Cricetulus griseus: one gene and its partner. The protein of the gene in region 2 interacts with the protein of the main gene of each other region in a pairwise test. Links are inferred from orthologs where the notes say so. Each region holds a gene or a part of one and is shown on either strand. Other genes may lie near its edges.

Region 1 (3,334 bases), on a different chromosome or scaffold from region 2:
GCACGCCTTTAGTCCCAGCACTCAGGAGGCAGAAACAGGTGGATCTCTGTGAGTTTGAGCCCAGCCTGGTCTACAAGAGCTAGTTCCAGGACAGTCCAAAGCCACAGAGAAACCCTGTCTCGAAAAAAACCAAAATAAAAAAGAAAAGAAAAAGAAACACTTCTTGCAAGCCTTTAATCCAGCACTCAGGAGGCAGAGGCAGGCAGATCTCTGTCAGTTCAAGGCCAGCCTACAAAGCTAGTTCCAGGACAGCAAAGGCTACACAAAGAAACCCTATAACAAACAAACAAACAAACAAACAAACTCACTCCTCCCTCCCTTTCTTTCTATCTCTGAGATGAGCTACAATGTGAAAGAATTATCTGTACTCAGAAAATGTAACTGTCTCACTGACCAAAAGAATAAAACACACATCACCATTTCCCTAGTTGCAAAACTAACTGACAAAGCTTATGGGAAATGAGAAAGACCGCACATATTTAAAAAAAAATCTTGGAGAATGAGAGATTTTTCCAGTTCAAGTACTTTTATTTTTGGTAAATGTAGATTACAAAATCTCAATATTAGTACTTATATGCAGATACATAGAAAACCCAAATACCAACACTGACTTGAACAAATTAAACATGGTTTTCATGTGCTGTGTGCACTCTTGCACAACCACCATCTAGGTTTTAAGATCATTCCAAGTCACATGAAACCACACTTTGTGAAACTTTTGAGTTGTTGATGACTTTGTAAGTTTCTGTTTAAAGGACTAACACATTACATTATAATGAACACCACTGGAATGCAAAATGAAGAAAATAAAACAAAATATAATTCAGACTTGACAGCCTCAAAACACAGGAAATAGAAATATCTGCTAGTTTTATGCACCCACTGGGGGAACTGTCATAAAGAGGTAAAATATACATAAAGAAAAGCCTATAGATTCCACTGAAGGAATACTGGGGATTTAGGGCACTATAATTGATGAAAACATGTGAGTTTACATGGAACTAAGAAATAAATTCTTTAATATGATAAAATCAATGAATGGTGTCTTATACCCCAAATTACAGCACTCCAGAGGTTGAGGCCAGAAGGAGTTCGAGCCTAGCTTAGGCTACAGAGTGGAGTCAGGTTTATAAAAATAGATACTCTGTCAAACAACAAAAGAAAAAATGCATATCTAACCACATGGTAACCTTCTGTGTGGATTATGCATAAAATTGATTTACATGTTAAAGAATCAAAACCCCAAATAACATTATATCATTTTTAAGGAAAAAAATTAGTAATATTAAACAAGAGGCTTGTTGTGTTTAAGCATATAAATCAGTAAACAAAGGCCTTAGAGAAGTGATTTCCACTTCAGTTAGTTAGTAAATGAATGTTGATAAATTCAAAGGCTGAGGGAGTGAACACACATGCCTTTGAAGACATGAAGATTCCTGACATCAATAAACTATGTATAATAAAGAAGATAAAGACAAGCTCACACAAAGGGAAATATGTACAGCTCATTTAACTAAGAAAGCAGGCTCTAATCCAAATTCTAACTCACAGTGCAACTTTTAATAGGTTAAGAGAGACTTGTGCCGGGCGTTGGTGGGGTGGTGCACGCCTTTAATCCCAGCACTCAGGAGGCAGAGGCAGGTGGATCTCTGTAAATTCGAGGCCAGCCTGGTCTCCAGAGCGAGTGCCAGGATAGCCAGAGATACACACAGAGAAACCCTGTCTCGAAAAATCAAAAAAAAAAAAAAAAGGAGAGAGAGACTTGTAAAAATGAGAAAATCAAGGACAAAAGGATAAAACTCTAGTCATGTAAACTTAAGAGGCCCCAAACACTATTTTCTTAGCACCCATTTCCAGGAGTGCACTTTTTGCATAGTCAATAGGAAGTCATATTCAGACTGTGCATCTTTTTGTTTTGACATTCTTTCTCTACAAAACCCAGGCTGGCTTCATCCATGGGAGTCTGCCTCAGCATCTCCAATGCTAGGATTATGTATTTGAAGCACCACAATGTACTTGTACTATTTTTTTGAGACAGGGACTTTACAATCTAAATTGGCCCTGAACTCACATAAACCTTCCTGCTTCATCCTCCCTAGCATCTGGATTACAGACATGTGCCATCACACTTGCTTCAGAAGGAAGGTATATAATTTGGGATCAGTGTGAGGCAGACTACCTACAGTTATGTAACCTGGTTAAGTCACTGAAGATCTCTGGGCCTCTTTCCTCATCTGTAAGTCTCCAGAATATCATTCATTTCTTCAGAACTATAGAAAGGCTCAAATGAGACTATTTACAGGTATTTCTCAACTCTAACAACAACTTAAAGCAAACTAAGAAATAACCAGAGCAATGTTGATGCCTGGGTCCCACGCCATAGGTTCAGACTGAATTATTCTAGGCTTGGCCCTCAGCACCAGTATACTTCAATGCGCCCAAGAAAACTCTAATGTATAGTCATTCTGAAACCCACAGGCCTGCAACTTTATCAGAGGATGACCTGGGGATTCTACCAAGTTGCAGATCAGGATTCAAAGAGTATCAGTCCAGAGAGTCTGCCTCTCTAACATGATCTCAGGCTGTGTAGAGCTACTGTGCTACTCTGAATGGCCACAAGTACAACGTGATAGTCTTGTACTTTTCCCAAACAACTTTTTAACAATGGTGGCCTGCACTTTGGCAAACAACTCTCTTTCCTTATTCCCAGGACTGTAGTAAGAACAGTATACCAAGCCAGGTGTGGTAGTGTATATCTGTAATTCCAGCTCTGAGGAGACTGAGGCTAACTGTGCTTGCATAGTAAGATCTTTCACAAGCCAAAATCCCAAAGACAAAATAGCAGTAAGATTCTATAAAAAATGAACACAAAAGGGTTATGTTATACACATAAAACACACACCCCTGAAGGGATTATTTACAAATTACAAGCACACCCAGTTGCTATGGTACCACTGCTCCCCACATTCATTACAAATGACATAGGTCATTTGTTCATCCGGATTTGAATTCTGCACCCAACTTGGAAGGAAAAGTGTTCCTCTTGCAATTACAGTGATCTTGCAGTTATATTTCTCACAGCGCCTGCACTTTATTTTATTTGTCTGTGTGCCTTCAACTGTTTGGGGAAGGTGATGTTCCTGAATACTGGATTCTGTGTAGGAAGCTCTCAACTGCTTCAGTTCCTCATTTGCCATGTCCAGGACAGTCATTTCAGCAAATTCTCTTGCAGACATGGTTCCAGAGAGCAACTTTTGTTGTAAATGAGAATTCTTGGGGTTGTTCAAATTGGCAACTTTGCTTCGAATACAAATTTTGTATTTTTTGATGTTGC
Region 2 (3,660 bases):
GTTCAGGAGACCCTGGGTGGGAGGAAAAAGGGGGGTGTAGGCATATGGTTACTGGTAATGATTAAAAACCAAGTTCCTCCAAAGCTCCAAATTCTTGCCAAAAAGAGGCTCTGTGACAGTTGAGAGTGAGCCTCACAAGAGCTAGGCTTCTTTGTGTGTGTAGCTGTACCAATGTTTACCTGAGACATGTTAACCTACAGATGTCACACACTCACTATATGACCACACAGGACACGTATCTCTGCTTTTGCCTGTGTGACAACACATATTTGAAAGGCTCAGAGTAACCCAATGTCATTTTGGGCATAACTACCTGGCTGTGACATGCATATAGCTATAGCCTTGGTGACTCCATGCTTCCTGTGTTTTCTAGAGCCTGAGGACTGAATAGGGGGGTACAGGCCTCGCTGTGTAACGCCCTGGGCGCTGGTGGCCCCACCTGCTCTTTTATTTTTCCCATCCACTGCCGGCTTCTCTCCATTCACACCTCATGCCGTCCCCTTTTCCCTCCCTAGGGGGAGGGGGGATCATGGATCCTAAGCCATAAAATAAATTTTATTCCAAAATAACAAAATAAATAATCTACTGTACACAATCTGAAAAGAAAGACACTCTAAGAGTTTGACAGGTGCTGCAGTCCTCCTGCTGGACTGAGGAGACCCAGGGTCTAACCCAGGCCTCTAAGAGGCTGGTGGAGGGAACTGTGGGGAGCCCTCACACACAGTACAAGAACGAACTGCTGGGAGGGGGGGTGATGAGGATGGGTGGGCAAACCGCAGCACTTGTTAAATTAAAAGAAACAGACTAGAAGCACAAAAAAAAAATGGGGATGGGGAGATCCAGTTTTCCAGGAGACCCCAGTATCAGGGCGAACAGAGCCATTTTCAACTGCTAGACCTTCTCAGGAAGTTCTTTCCCCCACATCCAAGCTGATCCCAGCCTGTTCATACCACTGGTGGCCGCCGATTGGAGAGAGAGAGGGAGAGTGTGTGTGTGTCTGTGTGTGTGTGTCTGTGTGTGTGTAGGGAGAGCCCCAGCAGGCTGTAGGCAAAGTCCATGCCCCTGAGCCGGGTGAGGGCGCACCTTGCACCCTCCTAGTGTCCTCTGGCCAGGCCCCTGCTTGTTATTGCTTGAAGCCCCATAGTCCTGTGCCCATGGGGCAGATGGGTGGCAGAAGGGCAGCAGAAGGATCCTTCTAGGGTGGTGACTAGAGTTCAAGGATGGAGAATATGGGGGTCTGAGTGAGCCAGAAGTCTGGGTCCTGGGCCTGAGACATCCCCACTCTCACTGCCGGCTGGCTTCGGCCTCCACTTTCACACTGCTCCTACGACCCTCCACCAGAGCGGGATGAGGTCCTGGGGCCGGGCATCGGTCCAGCAAGCCTTCCTCGAATTCTGTAGGAAAAAGGTGTGGGTTAGGAGACAAGGATGGAGGCTGAGCTGAAGAGCTAGCTGTTCTGAGTGAGGCCAGCACAGAAAAATGTGAAGATTGCTCCTGTTACTCAATTACAGCCTCCTGCCCACTGTGTGTGCACGGGGGTTCCATGACCAAGTGTATGCAGCTCCCCTCCTGTTTTGGTTGTGTGTAGCTCTCTGTCTCTGTGTGTCTCTCTCTTTCTCTGTCTCGCCCGCCTCTGCTCTTGCTGGAATTTCTGGTTCTGTCAGGAGCTGCGGGGGCGGCTTGGCTCTGACCTCTCCCCCTCCCCCTCCCCAGCCGCCCCCACTCATCTCTGGCCCCCCTCCCAGGCCCACCTACCCTACAAGTGCCCCCCCCCCGAGTTTTTGGTAGCCAAATCAGGGGAAACACAGGAAGCTAGACTCCCAGCTTCTCCCTCAAGAAAAGCCCCCCCTCCAGTCCCCGCCCCCACTCCCCCACCCACGCAGAGTTTAAAAATACCAAGCCAGGGTTGGTGGCTTTGTCTGCTGCGTCACTCTCAGCCCAGCGGCTGCCCGGCCCTCTGCCGGCCTACTCCTTTCCTATCCACACACAAAAGCGCCCAGCTCTGGGCTCCTTGGCTTCCAAGCTGGGGAACCCTATCCCCACAACTCCCCGCGACTCCACACCCCGGCATTAGGCAGTTCTAGCCAGGCTTCCCTTACTCCTGATTCTACTGTTCACCTTCACACCTCATTCTGTTCCCTGCTCCCCCATGTCAACGATCCCCACCTGGCCCAGACCCTACCCATCGTAAACAACCCAGCAGTAGCTTGCCCCTGTTCAAGGTCTGACTAGCTGGAGCGCCTGACAGTGGTATGGGATCCCTCTTCCTCCCCTCTGGTCCTACAAAAGAAGGACCCTGTGTGGGCCTGGGGTGTTTAGGGACAGCACTGCTGGCTGCCTCACCTGCGAGAGGCGGCTTCGCAGGCACACAGGGGCTGAGGCGGCCCACGCGATCATGGGAGACGAGGCGGGCGAGCCGCAGCCCCTCATCCATCAGTGTCTGCTGCAGGATGTGGCGGCTCCATAGCCCATGCGCTGGCAATGCCAGGGGCAGGTCAGCAGGGGGCGGCGTCAGCCTTGGGCACGACCCCACAGCTGTGGGCATGGGCACTGGTCAGGTCAGGGGGCTGCCGCCAACGGTACCCACCCTCAACCGACAAGTCATTCCCATAGGCTCTTCTGTCCCCATCCAGCCAGACCTCCCAGCCCTGCTCCAGGCAGTTGACTCCTGGCTCACTCCTGTAACCCACCCGCCCACTCCCACCTCCTCCCAAAGCAGACAGTAATGCACTCACCCTGCAAGTGGCCATCTAGGCTCTCCCCAGACAGACTGGCGCTGTCCTCCTCTAGGCTGGGGCGGTATGGGGGTGCATAGGACTCGGGGCCTGGGGGAGGCTGCTGGATTTCGGTATGACTCTGTTCCCCAACCTGTGGATGCACAAAATTGGGAAATGAGGACCTAGCAAAGCAGTGGTCAGGGTAGGCTATCCTGCCCTGTCCCATTAAGCCCCAAGCCACACCTCTTGTTTCAGTTTCTTCAGTGGTGGGCCTCCTAACTCTTCAGAGTGAAGCCTAGGAGAATAGGGAAAGCAGGGTTAGGGAGGGCTCCAGGATGCACAGGGAACACAATCTGGCCAGGAAAACTCCAAGAGGCTGGTTGGATAGGCATCTCCAGTCATTATTGTGGGGGGTTGGGAGTGAAGAGCAGGCCTCGGACAAGTTGACTTGGCAAGAGGAAGACATGCAGGTAGGTGGGAAGCAGGCCTGGAATTGCCTGAGCTGCAAGTGAGGAGATGTCCAACTCTGGCAGGATTCCAACCAAAGGTGGCCCAGGGAAGGGGGGGGGGTCTCACCTGGATCCCTTCAAGGAGGAAAGATAGGTGCTCTCTCGGGCTACTTGGCGGGACAATGAGAAGAGTTCTACCCTTCGAAGTAAAAGTGTGTTGTCCCTCATGCAGAACTGGGCAGCAGCCTCGTTGATGGTCAGCTGTGGCAAGAGGACAGCCAGTGTGAATGCCGATTCTCCTACTGTTTCACCCCTTCACCGCCAGGGGGGAGGGGGAGCCCATCCAAGGGATGCTAGCTTTAAATAAAACCCAGGAACATCCCGAAGGTTAGACGGGAGGGACTCATAGCGTCCCAACCAGGACCTCCTCTGTATCTGAGGGGACTTCAGCAGCTGGACAGTTGGGCTCACTGCCATCTCAGCTTGCCCTTCAG

Evidence for each region.
Region 1: the proteins of Nab2 (region 2) and Tceanc interact in binary tests that used the Homo sapiens proteins (3 or more experiments, as listed by UniProt). The two-hybrid records come from large-scale screens. The link is inferred for Cricetulus griseus from reciprocal best matches to the Homo sapiens genes NAB2 and TCEANC.

What each region holds. Positions count from the first base shown.
Region 1 is NC_048604.1:101,283,360-101,286,693, forward strand, and holds the end of Tceanc (transcription elongation factor A N-terminal and central domain-containing protein), read right to left. Parts: coding exon 2,925-3,334; 3' UTR 506-2,924; downstream 1-505.
Region 2 is NW_023276806.1:130,082,005-130,085,664, reverse strand, and holds the end of Nab2 (NGFI-A-binding protein 2), read right to left. Parts: intron 3,428-3,660; coding exon 3,294-3,427; intron 3,013-3,293; coding exon 2,961-3,012; intron 2,869-2,960; coding exon 2,736-2,868; intron 2,536-2,735; coding exon 2,344-2,535; intron 1,395-2,343; coding exon 1,285-1,394; 3' UTR 535-1,284; downstream 1-534. UniProt on the Homo sapiens protein: Acts as a transcriptional repressor for zinc finger transcription factors EGR1 and EGR2. Isoform 2 lacks repression ability.